Drosophila melanogaster: one gene and its partners. The protein of the gene in region 3 interacts with the protein of the main gene of each other region in a pairwise test. Each region holds a gene or a part of one and is shown on either strand. Other genes may lie near its edges. The genes, in order: CG15136, gNacalpha, bic and Pka-C3.

The links.
Region 1: the proteins of bic (region 3) and CG15136 interact in a two-hybrid assay, tested with the Drosophila melanogaster proteins (one large-scale study listed by BioGRID).
Region 2: the proteins of bic (region 3) and gNacalpha interact in a two-hybrid assay, tested with the Drosophila melanogaster proteins (one large-scale study listed by BioGRID).
Region 4: the proteins of bic (region 3) and Pka-C3 interact in a two-hybrid assay, tested with the Drosophila melanogaster proteins (one large-scale study listed by BioGRID).

What each region holds. Positions count from the first base shown.
Region 1 is NT_033779.5:17,046,503-17,050,486, forward strand, and holds CG15136 (uncharacterized protein), read right to left. Parts: upstream 1,780-3,984; 5' UTR 1,627-1,779; intron 1,567-1,626; exon of another isoform or gene 1,564-1,566; 5' UTR 1,480-1,563; coding exon 1,269-1,479; intron 1,108-1,268; coding exon 746-1,107; 3' UTR 659-745; downstream 1-658.
Region 2 is NT_033779.5:1,035,030-1,039,477, forward strand, and holds gNacalpha (germinal nascent polypeptide-associated complex alpha subunit), read left to right. Parts: upstream 1-2,216; 5' UTR 2,217-2,349; coding exon 2,350-3,393; 3' UTR 3,394-3,477; exon of another isoform or gene 3,478-3,504; intron 3,505-3,549; 3' UTR 3,550-3,656; downstream 3,657-4,448.
Region 3 is NT_033778.4:12,868,466-12,872,754, reverse strand, and holds bic (bicaudal), read right to left. Parts: upstream 2,507-4,289; 5' UTR 2,425-2,506; exon of another isoform or gene 2,353-2,424; coding exon 1,843-2,352; 3' UTR 961-1,842; downstream 1-960.
Region 4 is NT_037436.4:15,951,518-15,956,880, reverse strand, and holds the start of Pka-C3 (protein kinase, cAMP-dependent, catalytic subunit 3), read left to right. Parts: upstream 1-2,083; 5' UTR 2,084-2,124; coding exon 2,125-2,230; intron 2,231-2,293; coding exon 2,294-2,356; intron 2,357-3,887; exon of another isoform or gene 3,888-4,779; intron 4,780-5,363. Other genes in the region: elgi (early girl), read right to left, coding at 42-131; GXIVsPLA2, read right to left, coding at 828-1,270, 1,334-1,493, 1,572-1,661. UniProt on the Drosophila melanogaster protein: Does not have an essential role in development.

The DNA of each region.
Region 1 (3,984 bases), on a different chromosome or scaffold from region 3:
ACAGACAATGCAAAAGTGTGCAGTCTAAGAAAATGTTCGAACTTTATTTGGACGAGTAAAAAAACGCTAGTTTAAATGAAAATTTAATTTGCATAGCCACTCGTATTTGAAAGTGAAGGTGTTTTTTAAATTCCACATGTTATTTTATTGAGTTTAAAAATTAGTTATTTAAGCCCGTACTATTTTCAGTGGTAGTTAAATCTGAAGGCAGTCCTGCTGCCATGCTACCCATAGACAGGTGAATCAAGCTTTCAGCTGCCATCCAGCGAGGAGAATTCTGCGTGCGGCAAAAGTTTTCATGCATATTCAACATCATTAGAAAGTCAGGACAAAGTAGCTGAAGGCAGAAAGGCAAGAGCCTTCGTGGAAAGTAAAACAAACCCGTTTAGGGCGCTAAAATGTAGGCTATAAATTATGTCATAGGTATAGTCGACCTTTCTCCACGGAGCTTCCTTTCTTCCAGTCTGCCGTAAGTGGGCTTGAAAGGAGTGCATTTAGAAAGTTCTGAAAAGCGTCTTAATTGCAACGACGTTGGAAAATACCTGTAGAATTTAATTCTTCGCGCTGGAAGCGTATTAAATTCAGAAAAAATGTAATTACTTACTAAAAGGGAAATCCCTTATAAGCACCTATGGTATAGGAAAAAAATACACAAATTGAGAGAGTAAGGAAGCAATTTACTGAGTTGCATGTAGGTGTGAAAACAAATGGAAAATAAATATATAAATTTGCCATTCCGTGGGACCTACATGACCAGACAGCACTTTTTGGCCGGTCTGGCGGAGTGGCGATTCTGAAAGCCATTCCTTTTTTCCTCATCTAAAGGTTCCTCCACATCACCCACAGTTTCGCGAACTTCCATTGCCTGGCTAACTGATGTGCTTCCTAGCTTGGGATCATAGGACTCGGCTCCGATATTCATGGCCTGGACTTCGTCAAACTCCAGTTCGCCAACCTCCTCCTCGCCAGGATCCAGGCTGTAAACGAAACCCGGATGGCGCAGACCCTGCTGCTGCTGGATGCTGGCCTCACGCCAGATGGACTCGTAACGGGGCTCGTAGCATATGTCCTCCGAGGTTGCCGTACTCCACCGGGTGTACGTAGATACTGCATGGGTATTAAATTTATAAATCCATCAGGAAATTAAAAAGAAATAAATAAATGCACAATACTAAAAACCTATGCAAGTCAAAGCATAATATATATAAAGGGCTTCAAAATACAATATATATTGTTTTAAATAAACATTATTTCCTTTCCGTACTTACACTCATCAAATAGCTTTTTGGCCACCTGGCTGGCCTTGAAGTCGGGCACAAACACAGGTGCGTTGGGGTTTAGGCGTCGGTCCAGCGGTCGGCTAACGACGGGGGGCGTGTCGCCCGCGGCGGGCGGAGGGCAGCTGCCAGGAGTCGAATGGGCGTCACCCACTTCCCCTGCAAGTTCGCTGGTCGATGCGGTGGCGGTGTCCTTCAACATGGTCAGCAGAGCACTTAACACTTGAATAGTTTTTCAAATCTACATTTGAGTTCCGGCCGGACGATTTCAAGTAGCTTTTCTATTCTGCTTAAATGCTCAGTTGACAATTATGGCAGGGCAAACTACCTGATTATTTGATTTTCTTACCGGTATTCAGTGCCAAATATTAATGAATGACCAAAGACAGCCGCTTCCAAAATATTTTGCCAAAACTTTGGTATTGGCCGATTTTTGCTATGAGGGTGTTTATCTCTCAACGTTTGTCTTCACGAAGTAATTTGTGTTCCTACTATTTTTAATGCTTGGCCTTTGAAATTTAATTGGATAAGTAATGAAAAGTCAACTACGATTAAAGCTACACTATTATTTACATACACAATTTATGATTGCAGAACGTACAACTCAATTAAATAGAAAACTATTTCAAAAAAAGTAAGTTAACCATGCTCCTTTGTCCCGATTCCTTGTAATTTCTTTGAAATGTCAAAGGTTATTTACCTCCATTCAATTTCTGTTAGATTGTTATTTTGAGGATTTATGGGTTTATCCATCTTATTGGGGCTTAACCCGAAAACTGCTTCAAATCCATGCATGCCATAATTCGATTTCATAAATTTGATTCCACTTTCAACTGTCATGTTTGCTCCGCTTTTCTCGTTGCAAATAAAGTTTGACTTTTAATTAAATGGCCGAACTTACAATAATTTTAATAAGCCGTATAAATAAATTATAACAAATTTCACACAAAGTGAGATAAAATTGCCTAAAACTCATCCTGACATTCCATCTTGCTGGTGCGTGTGTGTCAAATTTAATTTTGTGAATACCGCAAATTGACAAATATTTTCGTTTGGCCAACAAGAAGAAGACCAAAAGCACCCAGCACTCTAATTCAATCTGGCTGGTGTATTTTAATTGATTTGCGCTAAAATTTATTGATTTCATTTTGTCAACAGTTGTTGCCAGATGAACCGCAAAGAACGCCTGAAAACCTCAGACCCATTCACCCATTCAGCCATTTGCCCAACTTGAGCTCATTATGGCAGCTTCAGCCCCCTTGGAACCCAATATTTGCATTCATTTTGTGTGTGTGCTAATTTGCATGTGCGAGTGTGTTAAAACATAAATTAGTTGACTCTGCCGACACACCCACACAATCGAATAAAATAAAGAGAAAGGGGTTAGAGAAAGTTTCAACCGAGAACCGAGAATTTATTGCCAATTCATTGCATTCGCGCTGCTGTATCGAGCGATTTCGCTAACCGAACAAATAGCGGTTTTAACTGTTTTTAGTTAATTGCGCAAATTACTTGCGCTAATTTATTGGCCATTTTGTGGAATAGACAAGGTTTTTCAGCTTATAGGTTTAGTCCGACTAATTTGTTAGTTTCTGAAGGGATGTTTTTTTTTTTTTTGACTTCTTATTCTATACATTTTGTGTAAAAAAATACCATGTAGTTCTTCCTGTTTCAATAACACTATTAAGCCATTTGACAATTATCTTCGACAGTCATAAATCCGTTAAATTAAATAAAAGGCCAAAGTTTATTTAGCTACTCAATCAGGGACACAAACAACACTCAAATTGTTGGACAGTTTCAGATTCAAATGGCAAGCGGTGGTCGAAGGGCAAAGTAAATAGATGAAACGAAGTCTTCGCACTTTTGTAAAGTTGCTGCTCAGTGTTGGCGTATTTCCCTTGAAGGAGTAACGTATCATATCTTTTATTCAGCTTTGAATGAAGAAGTCATGTCAGAATATGCCTCAGATATAAACCGTTAATATAAAAACGAATAATATTAAATTGTATTATATTACATTATATTATTTGTGAAGGGAAAGTAGCCAAGATGACAGCTCTGGTCGCTCAGCAGTCAGTCAGTCACCCACTTGGTCAGTCACATGGGCTGCACATTCAAGTGTCACTGATTTGAGGATAAGCACTTCACAGGCAACTTGATAGCCCCCCAATCCGGACCCCCTCCATATATATATGTATATACATATATCTTTGTGTATGTATGTATGCTGTAGTGGCATTGGAGCGGTTGTGCCGTGTTCCGACGGGTTGCTTGGTTGCCTGGCCAGTCAGCCGTGGTCGGGAAATATCACAGCAGTACTCTCTCTCATTCGAGGGCCACTCGTGCAAAGCGAACTAATTTGAATGTATAAAATCAGCAGCACTGCCGGGAAGCCCCACAGGGACAGACATACATATCCGCAATAATATATATAAAGGGACAGCAGATAGACAAACTGACTGACTAACTGACTGGTCGAATGACTGGCCATGGAGAGTGATGAAAACAAAGGCCATCATTAAGCGTTCCATCTTTGAGCGGCTTTAATTGATGTGCGTTAAATCGTTGACAAACTTGATTAGGAAGGCCAAAAGGGGTTATTTTTTTATTTGTTAAATTGCATAAATAAATTTCATTAGGCTGTAAGTGTCTTGAGCTCAATTATGAAATAGAAATTCGTTTTTATACCAATTATACTGCAAAT
Region 2 (4,448 bases), on a different chromosome or scaffold from region 3:
CAAGGCTGACATATTTTGAAAGAGGATGACGGCAGAGTTTACTTCATTCTGAAGGCACAGCCATACCGCCTGCCAAACGGGATTCCAGCTCATCAACAGCAGCACAAAGATGTGGCATTCCAGATTGGCCCATCGACAAAATAAACGTCAAATTATCAAGCGAACAAGGTACCAAGTGAAATGACCTTGTCAACGCTAAAAACAAATTGGGTTTCTACTTTATTGGGAGTGCAAACAGTATGTCCACAAATTTGCTACGGCATCAGGATGTATAAAAACTTGGTGCTATTCGAAACTAATTTGCAGACTCACTATAAACTCACTAAAACAAACTCCTTTAATAAATAGTTTTCCTAGCAAAGACTGCTGATTCACTTACAACAATAGAATTAAGCCAAATAAGCATCAATCAGCAATGAAATTCATTAGCGGGAAGAGGAGACTCTCGAGCAGGCACAATATGAATGCCTTGGCCAAGATCTCAATTACGGAAACATCTTTGGTTATAACATGTCTACGACATGGTAATATGATTTCAATCATTTCTCGAAACTTGCATGATTAATGCGTTACAGATTTTTGCCCCCAGAAAGCGGCTTCTGTGGGCCTCGTTGCCTTGAAGGAGAGTGAAGACCTCGTCCTGGTGGGCCTCCGAATTGGGTTCATTTTTCATGCACAGGCCGTGGCAGCAGAAACTAAACTTCGAGGCTAAGACTAAGCCCCAATAAGTTGGATGGGCCCAGATGACACCGCAGCATATGGGGCGGATAATTAATCATGGGACGAACGTGCCAGGACGCCCAAAAACTTTTCACCCTTCTCCGGCTCTCCGGGTCTCCGAGTTCCAAGTCCGCGCAGAACTTAACTTAACCGAGCAACATTGAATCGAATCGACCGAGATGTTAAGATGCGAGGACTCATGGCTGGGCAAAGGGAATATCTGATTAGTTGGCCTCTCGAATTTAATTATGGTGACAGGACAGACTCTGCGGCGGCAGCCGGATGCATCCTCGGTCTCCTGCCCTCCACATCCTCCTAGTCCTCCTCCTGCTGCTTCATTCGCCTCTCCTGAATAATTTGTGCAACTCAATTAGGCGTTGACCCCACGATAAAGTTTAATAATTGCAGGTGGTGGACGCCCTTCTTTCGCTCGAACTTTAATTAAAAGAACCGAGCAATTAAAAACGCATCATCAGACAGAGCGCAGCGGCTTGCAGAAAAAATGCAATACATGCTCCCGATTACCACATACCTGTTATGTAGGAAATAGGAAAGGTCAGAATTCATGAAAATTATGCTAAATGTTATGTTAACTCCATTGGGGATTTGATCCATACGTGCTCATATTCTTATTGTACGGTTGTCTCGAATTGTGATGTAATTTCCGTAACACGAAGAGCGCCCTAATAGGGCGTGGCACTTTTTTAATGCACTTAGCAAGTGTTTTTTCGCCACACGCAGAACGCAAAACAGGATCACACAGCCCCGCCCTGAACCGCCTGATCTGGGAAATTCGGGAGCCGGAAAACCGCAAGGAAAACCGCACGTGTAACCGCGCTTGCTCCACCGCGTCGTGTTTGTGGGGCTGCTCCGCTTTGGAGGCAGACTGCGGTGCGACCACGACAGCAATTAACACGGAGGAACCAGCTTCAGATTCAGGTCTTTGGCATTTTCCGGGCATCCGAGTTTTACGACTTTGCATATTCGAATATTACCCAAATAACCGCTGAACTTTTCATTTCTCCACCACTTTTAAACTGGCTTTGTCAGGTGAAAATTTTCAAGCACGTCACTGCAGTGGATTGATTTGCAATCATCAATTTCGATAGAATTTGCGAGGCGCTGCAGCAAAACTTTTATAACCGCGAAATTAAGTGCACAGTTCGAAGGCAGCTGACATTCTCGTTTGAAAAATACCAACTTTCTTCAGAGCAGCGCTGCTAACGCCTATAATCAGTTCACGATTGCACTGGGACCTATCGATATCGATAGACTTAGGCGTGCTCTGCATGTTCGAATGGCCGAGTGGCCATTTTAAAAACTTATAATCTTTCCGAAAGCAACACTTGATATTGTTTATTTCGCTATTTAGGTGCCATTAGCATAAAAAATTTCCAGTTTTCATTATGAAAAAACTTTTCGATAAGTATACCAAATTTCGCAACAGCACTTATCGAAGAGAGCAACACCAGCTGTCAAGCCACTGGAAGTTTCACCTCTGATATTTCCTGTCAAGTCTTTCCCGCAAGAGGTCACACCACGTGCGCTGCCAATTTGGAAATTTTTTTGGAGAAGTTGTCCTCGCAAATCTGTGATCGCAAATCCCTCAGTTGCTGTTTATTCCTCAAGATGGGTAAGAAGCAGAAAATGAAGAAGGCTGCCCAGATGGCGACCGCTGCCGAGAAATTGAAGACCGCTGCCGAGAAATCGAAGACCGCTGCCGACAACGTGGTGGCCAAAGAAAAGCCTGCCGAAGAAGCCTCTCCCTCACCAAGTGGCAGTGGAAAAAAAGGGAAGCCCAAGGCAACGCAAAAACCAAACGTCGCAAAGGCACTTCAGAAGGAGATCTCCAGTTCGGAAGACGCCTTGGATGTCAAGAATAAACCTCCGGCAGGCTTTAGTGGCGCAAAGGGGAAGCCCCACATCATGGGTCAAATGGACCCGGCCTACCGCAACAAGATCAAGAAGCTGATGAGCCTGGCCAAACAGCTGCCGCCCAATGTGTTCAGTCTGCCGAACTCGCAGAAGGAGGAGGGCGCCTCCGCCGCGAAATCCTGCGTAGTTGAGGATGATCAGAGCACGGACTCCGATGACGCCCCGGATCTCGTGGAAGCGGATCCCAAGGAGACCCAACCGGACGAGCAGGGTCAACTCGGTACGGTGGCCGTGCGAACACGTGAGGTATCAAAGCAGTCTCGCGGCGAGCGGAAGGCACGCCGGATCCTCATGAAGCTGGACCTGAAGCCCATGGAGAACGTGGCCCGAGTGACCATGAAGAAGGGCAAGAACATCCTCTTGTACATCGATCAGCCGGACGTCTACAGAGTGGCGCACTCGTCGACGTACATCTTCTTTGGGGAGATCTGCGTGGAGGACACTAGCACCACGTCCGTCGCCTCCCAGGCAGCTGTCAAGGCGGCCGAGCGATTCCGTGGAACCTCGCCTGCCGGGCGGCAAGGTAACGAGGATGGAAAAGCCCCTGGCGAGGAGTCCCCACACGACGACGACGACGACGAGAACGATGGCGAGGACGCGGATGCCATGGGCCTACATGCGAAGGACATCGAACTGGTACAGATGCAGGCCGCGTGCTCGCGCAAAAAGGCGATCCAGGCGCTGCTGAAGAACGACAACGATGTGGTCAATGCCATCATGGCCCTGACTGTGGGTTAAGTCGCTCTGAGTGGCTCCTTTGTATTCAAAGTCATGAAATAAAGAGAATTTCAATAACATCCATGTTCGCCATAGAAATTAATGGTAATTAAATGATTACAATCAAATCGTAAACTTTCATGTTGTTTTTATTTACTATACTTTCATGTAATCCAGACAATCCTTTCGGACTTCACTTCTCCTGGTGGATGGCTTGTTCTACAAGAATGACAATCTCCGGTGCCAATGTAGCTCGTACTATATTAAATGCCGATCATTTCCTGGTTTTTGAAAATGTTTTCGGTCCCAGCAGAAGAATCCCACTGAAGAACCCCTTTGTACAGCGAAATTGCCATCTTATTTCAATTTTCTAATGAATTGACATTTCCACCATTTCCATCTTGGCACAGTGAAAGCATTTTCCGAAGGGCGAAGAACGCATATGCGAACCCGAACCATTTTCATTATACTCGTATTTGCTCTTCCATCAGCGCTAGACTTTGGCAATTTTCCTTTCAGGTACCGTCATTCTTGGACATTTTCTCTGTGGCGGAAACTTAATCGCTTCTTTCTTTGTGCCGCTGACGCTGCACTCTTGTTTACTCTGCACTTAGTTTTTAGCCATTTGGCGAAGTCCCCCGGCACTCGACTTTGCATTTTTTGCTGGCGAATTTTTGACGACGCCGTGATTGCGTTTCAGCTCTTTCAGGGGATTTCAGGGGTACTCCCAGGTGAGACAGGTGACGTCGCTGCTGGTGACGTGGCTACGCAAGTCCTGCTCCGCGGACATTTGACTCAATTAAATGGCTCGACTACGTTCAACGTCCCTTTTCTGGCCCCAAAAGCCACTTAATGACTAGCTCCGGCTCTAACTGAACTTTTTTTAATTTTCAGCTGTCGTCAGCAGCCGTAAAAAAGGCTTTAGTTTTGCATTGTGGGCGCTCAACAGTCCGTGCGGCTGAGCACGTGCCCGCTTTTTCGCCGGAAAAGTGGAAATGGAAACTTTGTAGGTGGGACGCATTCACCTTCTTCGTTCTGTACACTCATATAGTGCGAGTAGAAAGTGCCCGCGCGTG
Region 3 (4,289 bases):
GCGTCTCTTACATCTGGCAACTCTGTACCGCATGTACATACATACATACATACATACATGTGTCACAGTGGTGTGAGCTATTAAAAGCTAGAAAATCTTTAGATTATCCTTAGGTCAAAGTTCAAGACCAAAATGTGACAAGATTTTAGAATATTTTAATAATTAATAATTATATTCCTAATAAGCTCTTCCAAATCTTTAGCCCATAAAACATATTTCAGCAATCTATTGTAAAATATTCAAAACACTTACATACATACATATGTATATCCGCAGTATTAGCTATGCACGCATGTTTATAAAACAAGTTGGCAGGACAAAAAATCAAAACAAAACCCAATTGGAAACCTAATAAACATCAATTAAATATATTTGCCACAATTAAATATGAGTTTTTAACTCTATTTGACCTCGTCACTGATAAAAATACTAGCATTTGCATTAACCTTAATCCGTTATAGGTCGTCGAAATGTGATAAGAAGCCGCAATCGCTTGTTTATGTACAAATGAGTGGAAACTTCAAGAAACATTCCGGTTGAACTGGCCTAATCGCAATTTTAAGCCAATTTAAACGTGACTCATTTCGAAGATTTCCGACCAAAAACCATATACATATTTATATATATACATATGTGCATGTACCGCATGCTACGACTCCCAACTTTGGATTTGGACACATAATTTGGAAGTTGCGTACGGGTCATAGTTCCTGCCGAAGGAGCCTTCTGACCATCTGGATTTTAGACGTACCATACCAAATGTCAACAAGTTTTCGACTGCCGCGTGCTTTGCGCCACACCTCCCACTACCCCTTTCCCATCACCTCGAAAACCTCACACAAGAGCGTTGCTATGCATACACACACAGGCCCACACTCACACACATGTCGATTATGCAAGCAAAGAAAAAAATAGGCATTAAACTAAAAAAAAAATGCTGGAAATATGAATGGGTCGTATGGTTTTTACAGCTCATTTAATGTTATGCATGGTAATGATGGTCTAAAACAATAGTTTACAAATTATAAGCTATGCTTTCAACAATTTGGGCACATTGTTCTCGAATCGAAATTGTGGCCTCAGCTTGTTTTCGTTTTCAATTGAGGATTCCTTGAGGGCGGGGTTACATCGAAAAGTCGGAAATTGGGGAAAATCGGTAAGAGCTAGTAGTGCTAAAAATATATTTCTCTGTCCTCGCGACCTGGCAATGAATTCATCTGGAGTGTCTGCGTTGTTCCCCTAATCACCTCGTCACAATTCTTCCGAAAACCGTATCGTATATATATAGTATATAGTGTTTTATGACAGCGCATATATCTATAGATACATCTGTGTGTGTTGTTCTTGGGAGGGCGGCAAAAATTAGAATGTGTGTGTTGTTTAGACTGTGGTTTTTTTTGGTTAAGGAAACGTTCTTTAATCGCTTTGGAAAATACATTTGACTGTTCCAAACTAGTACAATTAGATTAAGATTGAAGGGTTCCCTTAGTATGTTAAGTATAGTTATTATGCTTATGTGTTCTGTTCAGCGCTCACTCGGATGCCTTTATTTTTGTATTTTAGTATAGTGTGTAGCATGACCCCCAAAAAAGTGGCTGGAGGGAGCACGAAGAATGGCCCATTCAGGGCAGAAGCGCTGGTTGCAGTCCGGAGTGGATCCGTTTCCGATTTGGAACCGGAATGGGTAAGTGGTAGATGTGTTTCCGGCGTGTCTGGTGTGTGGGTTCTGCCCTGTATGCCAGCCACTTCGTCTTGCTCCCTGGCCCCGTATGTTTTGTATGTATGTTTTTGTGTTCGGTGTGTGGTGGTGTGATTTGCCCGGGTGGGCGGGGTTGGACCAGCCTAAGCGGAGGCCGCCACCTCACCGGACTTCTCCTCCTTTGTGTCGGCGATGGCCACCTCCTCGAAGTTCTCGACCAGATCGGGCACATCATCGTCACCGGCATCGGCGGCTGAAGAGCCGGCTGCTCCGCCGGCGCCGCTCTTGCTGGCAATCTCCGTGGCCAGCTTCTTCAGCTGGTTGATGTCCTGGGGACCCAGTTGCGTCAGAATGCCGGGCACCATCTCGGTGATCGTCTTGTTCTCGCCATGACCCGTGATGGCAAACGTGTTCGTCGGCAGCGAGGCCTGGGCCTTCGGATTGTTGAAGTGGATGACGGTGCCATCGTTCTTGATGATGTTCACCTCCTCGATGCCGGGAATTGTGTTTACCGACAGCTTCTTGAGCGACGACTGCAGCTTCTTGTCGTCGGTGGCGGGCGTGGAGTGGACGATCTTCTTCTTGCGGCGAGGGGTGCCCTTGCCGCCAATGCGCACCTGCGCCTGCAACTTCTTCAGCTTTTCCGCGTTCATCTGTTCAATTGAGTACACACAATGGTCGCATCAGTAAAACGCCAATCGAATGCCGCACTTTCCACTACTCACTTTGATTTTACTAGAATTTAGCACAGAGCCTTGCCAGAAAACACGTGCGCCCAGTCGTAGTCAAATGTCAAAAAGAAATCGCCATGATAAAAATGGCAAAAGGTGTATGTATATGTGAGTAGTACTGGTAGGAAGTACTAAACGTGAGTGTTGACTATCGATAGCTCACAAGGTGGCAACCAAAGCGCGCCAAAGAAATTTAAAAATTCTATTGTTTATATAATTTATACATTATTTTTGAAGTAATACGTTTTCTGAATTTTGAATGAATTTTTAGTTTTGAATATATTCAAATTTTTAGTAGTATATGGTGGGAAAGTAAATCTACTCAGGGCATAAATCTCAATTTAATCGATTTACTTTATTTTCATCGCTTTCAACCACATATATAAGTAAATATGTTTAAAAATTTGCTATATAAAATTAAAAATAAACGTGGTAAGAAAAAAAACCAATTTACTAAACATTTGGAATGTTAATAAACATAATTATGAGCCATCATAAACCCAGCAATAAAGTTTTAAACACAATTAAACCAGATGTAATGTTTGAATTAATTAATTCTTATATTTTCTATTCCAATAGTATCGATTGCTTTGTTGAGTTCGATAGCTATCGTTGGCTTGCATCGACTACTCACTAAACTCAGCAGTCAGTGCTGCATAACGTCATCATTATGATAAATTGTAATGTTTTAAAAAATATCTATACAAAATATACAAGCTTAGTATAACAAACTCAATTTAGTAAATATTTGGAACGCAAATAAATAAAATTATGAGCCATTATATACCTTGCAATAAAGTTTTAAACACAATTAAATCAGATGTTATGTTTGAATTATCGATTGCTGTGTTGAGTGCGCTAGCTATCGCCGCTTTACATCGACTGCTCACTAAACATAGCCAGCGCAGTCAGTGCTGCATAACGTGCACCCATTATCATCATGATAAATTGTATTACTTTCAGATTAACGCTGATAAGATATAGTTAATTCCAATCGGGCTTCAATAACGACCTTCCGGTAGAGTAGTTCACTGATATTTAAGTGAATTATACGGGTGCTGCCAAAAAGCGGATAAATCCGATAAATAGGCAGTGCATTCCCTGCAACAAGTGGAATTTTCGACTTTAAATACAGATATTAACAAAGGGAAATAACCGCTAAATCCTTGTCAAACGTAAGTATTTCACGACGTCTTATCGACTATGAAACGAGCTTTTAAACACATTAACTTCTTCCGCAGTGGACGACTTTGAGTTGGACGATATAGACGATTTCGCCATGGATTTCTGGGGCATTTTCATGTTCTTTCTGCTCACCTTCCTCATCATGAGTTGCTGCGGATATTGCTGCACCAGCAGACGCCAAGGTGCCGTTCTGTCCAGTGAGTAACTGTATAAAATATATGTAGAAGTATTAGCCTATAAGCCATTAATCAAATAAAAACTCCCCGATGAGTCATTCAGAAAGACAAAGCAGCCGGAGTTTAGCTCAAAAGATGAGTTTTATGAGTGAGCGAGTGTGTGTAAGAGTATATAAAATCCTATTCGTGTTAAGAAGTGATAATAACAATTATATTTAGTCGATATACATATTTATAGAGAGAGAGAGACAGATCTGAATAATGGGAGAGAGCTTTTGGCTTGTTTGGTTTTTTTCTTTTGCCTCTCCACCGATTCGTAAACAACATTAAGTATGCTCAGCAATAAGCGGAACTTACTTTATCAGCAAGGGCCAAAGTAATTGTCTATTTATGTATGTTTATTTATATGGCCGTATCTTATCTGAAACAAGTGAATAGTCTGTTGTCCCTTTCTGGCCAGGATTTTACCAGTTTTTATCCATAATATAATAATTGCTA
Region 4 (5,363 bases), on a different chromosome or scaffold from region 3:
TGTATGATTCGCGGTGTGCGTTCTTTGCAAACAAAACAAACCTGCAGCGGATCCTCAAGCACTCCGGAGCAGATGGGACAGGTGAGCTCCTCGTCCACCTCCCCCTGAAAGCGATTCACATCGTAGCCCATCTTAGGTCCTCAGCACGCTGGCCATCCGCATAAAAATACTATTAATAATTCTTTTCTGCGGATTGCAAAATCTGTGTGTTTTTTTTTCGGTTCAGTCAGTGCAGTGTTGTGTAGTGTGACTGAGTAGTGTTGGAAAGCTAGGATGGCACTTCAGCTGTAATCCGCGAGAAATGGCTTCTTAAAATAACTGTTTAGCTTGAAAATATTGAGATATTTTCTGTTCCACCTTAGTTTTAAACTTAAGTTTGACTTAAAGTCAAAATTTTTGATATAATAGAATTCTTGTTTGATCTCCATTCATTTATTTGTACTATTAAATTAGCTTTGGCCAGGCAGCTTAACAAATTAAATACGTCATCGTCCTGGTTAAAATATGTTTACACACTTGTCGATCATATGATTAATAAATAATATACATATCCTGCCCAAAGGACCACGTCAGCATAAGCCACCGGTGATTAATCAGCGCACAGTTGATTTAAAAATATAGCATCTTTATAATAGGTAAAAATATCAATGTATTTAACAGTCTGGACCGTTGGCATGCCACTATTTGGTATACAATAATGAAATTCGTCAAAAAGGGAGTCCAATGGACATGGCTACCCAATTCATAGACTAACACAACACATAAAACATTTAACGCTTAATCCGATACCCCCAGGTCCCCGCACCCTCGTAGCCAGTGATCCTGTACTATATCTCGTTGCGATCCTTCCAGCCATATTTCTGGCGCTGCTGCTTCTCCCTACTATTGCTATTACCCTGCCTATTGCCATTGTAGGAGGAGCTCTTCGGCGGGGCGCAATAGCAGGATCTCTGCTGGGAGTCCAGATAGGAGCGGCATCCCAGGGTCAATGTGCCGGTGAATAGCATCTTGGCAGCCGCCTTGCAGCCCTTCATCATCAGATCGCTGGCTATGGACTTCTCGTAGCTGTCGCAGTACTTGTACAAGCACCTCTTGAAGTCCAGGTCGCACAGCTCCTTATCGCTATTGCAGGTGTCGTAGCAGATATCGTGGTCATTGCAACATGTCTCCATCTCCTTGGCCGGCAGATAGTCTGTGCTGATCCTCAGGCCCAAGGAACCACATCCATCTGCGGTGGGGGTATAGAACTTATTCTGAACCGCTCTGGGCGCTGTAAGATAAACACACATATGGATGCTGGGGAATTTACATAATGCGCAGTGCGTCACCACACCTGGTCCTCCGATATCCGGTGCGGGGCACTGGTATATGCAGTTCTCGTCCACGGCCGCATCGAAAACCTCGTGGACCGTGCGAAATTTGCGCACCAGCACTATCAGGTTCTTGAACACGTCACCAAAGATCGCCTCCGCGGCTATAATGGCATCCCTTAGCTAAATCCGGGGAGAGAAGATACAGGAGTAACAGATACTAGCTCTCACAGATTTCCTACGAGAAGCGGTGCACCTTACGTGGACTATGGTGCTGGATCCATAGCCTGAATAGGCGTAGGTTAGGAACGTAAGAAGGTATATGGCCACCTTCATCCAAGAGAACTGCATGTTCGCTGTTTAATTCGTTTTTGAAGGGTCAGCTATTTGTTGTTTGCGCGTAATAATAAACTAAACTATGCGAAAGACATTTGTAGCAGTGTGACCAGGCGTCATCGTTCAAATATACCAACCGGCTCGGAAATCATACCAAACTGCATATGAGGTTGCATACTTTTAGGCACTGTCCTGACATTTCAAAAAATCCTAATGGGAAATTTAAAACCGTTTTTAAATATTATAAATAAAATACGTTATGATTTATAAAACAAAAAAATTTATGAAAAATAAAATCTTGTTGGCTTTGCAGAGAGTATTACAATTAATGCTATACATTAATAAAAGTAAATTGAATTTCAGAACACTGGCGCCATCTGGTACAGACAACTCAAAACATTTAACTGACAATACATATACATCGATATTTCGAGGGGGGAAAATTCAAAAAATTGGGAATAAACAAAATTTTCCTTAAATGGATTTGTGGCATATATTTTTGGAACGTATTTTAGTGGCTTGCAGAGTCAGCGCAAGTGTCTTCGCAAATTTCGGCTGCGGTTTGTATTCCAGCTGGAAGCTAAGTGAGTTGTTTCCCACAATTATACTTAGTGCGGCAAGGATACTAACATTTTTATGCCTTACAGTCTGCGGCGACCATGACTCGGCTTCCGGTCTGCGGGCAGGACTTGCCACGCCCACTCAAAGAGGTGAGTGCATGCAGTGTCCTTGCACTTGACAAACAGGACTGAAGCAGCCTCAAAACGAAATAGTGAAATAGGGAAAAAAAAGTCGCGCACAGAAAACGTAAACGCAAAGCTTGCTGACATCTCGTGCCTGCCTTCGCTTAATTATAACATCAAATTGAAATGCACACGGCAATTGTATGCGGCACCTGAAATGAGACTGTGGCACGCAGGCGTCACTCGTACTCGCATTTCGTTTGCACCTGACCTTGTTGGCCTTTATTACAACGGCCAGCGAAATCAACGTGCATAAACATGCGAACGCAACACCCGAAAACCGTTAAAGAGGCGCGCTCGCTGTTTGCTTAAAACCGAAACAGAGGGCTCGTAAATACACAAAACATATTTTCTAGATTTTCTCAGCAACGAATCGGCGCTGCCGCAAAGTCTACTGAAAACAAACAAGACACTGAGGAAAAACACCCCCACCATAAAAACACACATAAACCTTTTGATTTAAAACGACTTCTGGCTTGAATCGTAGGGTTAACTTATGTACAATATGTACATCATGTATGTATTTCATATCTGAATTACATCCTGTATGCATTATTTTCCATCTCTACTATAATAACCAAAAGTCTTAATATTTGTTGAAATAACACAAACATAAATAGGTATAAGTGTTTCTTGGAATATTTAAAAATTCACTGCTGACGAAAAGTCTGCTGGTACTCCTACACTTGGGAAAATCCCACATTTATTACAATTTTCCGACTTTTCGCAGGCAATGTGTCTGTTAAAGCAGTTAAAGAAAAACCAATCCAAAAACTACCCAACATTAGGATTATATTTATTTAATAATCAGGTAAAATCGTAAGATAAAAACGTCTATAAAATCTATTATTAAACGTTGTTAAAAGATAAAAAGATATTTCATAAGAAATATAATTTTGCATTTTCTTATTTATGATAGTAATGAAAGTTGTTATTACACAAAAAAAATATGATAAGAACAGTTAAAATATGTAAATTATTGTCTTCGCAGCGACAAAATATCTACTTTTTTGTCAATGTATGTATCTTCTAGATTAATTATTATATATATATGTATGTATGTAGATTTTGGTCGCTGCAAAGACTTTCAGTTCCGTGATGGTGTTGTCAATTAGGGCGCACACCATGCTGGCCGCCTTATCGCCATCGGTGATTCCGGACCGCCTCCGCCATCCTGATGGCGATGATCCTGTTGCCGCCAAAGCGTTTAGGCCCTCAAATGGAACGGCACTCGGGACACTTGGCCAAAACCAAATATCTGCACACATGGAGAGCAAACACAAACACATCCGACTATCAAGCGAGCATCCCGAAGCCATCTCTCCCTCTCCCCTTGGCTGCCAGCAGAAGCATCATTATTACCATCGTCATCATTGCCCACTGCCCCGCCCCTCCCGACCAGGCCGCCCCCTTTTCCGAACCACCACGACTGTGCTGCCAACTGCGACGCTGACGTCGACGTCGAGAGCTGTGGCAAGCGATTCGCAGATTTTACGTTTCAGTTTCGTGCAAAACGTGGAAGCGGCTGGTCAACCCAAGAAAAACACCACAGAACACTCAGAAATCATTCGAAAGAAAATTGGAAAATTTGACATTGGTCTTCAGACTAGTCAACAAAAAAAAAAACAAAACCTATTCAAAGTTTGCAATCATCACGTTTGATTAATTGCGCTCAGTTGGACTAATTTGGCAATCTGCTGGTTCAGCGGAGGAAACTAACAAAAAACCGAAGAAAAACTGCAAGTTGCGCTGTAAAAACCGGAAATTCTAGATCTCTCGGATCTCACGATCCCAGCGTATATAAACAAAACAAAGCGGCACCTTTAGACACACAACAACAACTAAAAGAAACCGAAGAAAAACCCACGAAAAAAGTGACACAAATAAAGCAAATCGCGATCGCTGTGTCCAGTCGATCCGCAAAAAATAATACCTATGGCCCCCGTATACCTATAACACCCATAATACCTATACCTATACCCCCTCCCGCCGAGAAACGCTGAGTGTTGAGTTTATTTCTGTTTCTGTGTCGGCTTCAGCGGTTTTTTCGCCTTTTTTTCTGTTATTATTGCCGGCCAGAAGCGAAGGAAAAATCGAAATCGACGGCTAGTCGCGGAAAATCGTGCGCTCTTAAAGTAACATATTTATTTTTAACAATTTCGCAAGCGTTCAAATTTTGCTCCAGCAAAAAATCAGAATCAGAACTCACCAACCAACCAGACAATCGCAACCTGAACAACAACAATAAATATAGATCGGCTGTGGGATCGTTAAGTAGGAAAAAAAGAAAAACAAAAACCAAAAGGCTAAAAAAACCAAAAACCAAAACAAAAACCAAACCAAAAGGCAACGACGACGGCCGGCAAATTTGGATCTCAAAATTTAGCTCGGTGAGTAATCGTGGGTAGTGTAAAAAGTGGAAGCCAGCAGCCAGCAACAAATCATAAATGCTTGCTTTCCAAAATAGAAACAAAATGTGGAGATAAATTCGTTTGATGATTAAGCTTTGAGTACTATAATTAGGCGAGCCGATTTAATTAGTACAATTAGCAAATTACACCTCACATGGCGGGCTAAATCTTGATATTTGGAGTGGAAGTGGAAGTTGGAAAGTGTGGGTTTTTTAGATACTTTGAGATCTTGCTAATGCAGTCATTAAGTTCGTTAGATTCGTAGATTAATGCGTCTTTAAACATTTAAATAGAGGTGGAAGATCTAACTCGTCATAATGTTAAAATAAATATGATAAATATAAATAAGAATAAAATGCTAAAATGTCTGATTTAATGGTATATATCCCATATATCCCACATATATATAAATTAAAAAAGGCGTGTAAAATATTTTGAATTTTCTTGAACATTTCAAAGTTCAGAAAGCGTGATAAATTATTAGATTCTTCACTGACAAATGGTAAATATATAAAAAATTCCAAAAATGTATGATTTACTTATGCTTAATAATTCAAGAAAGA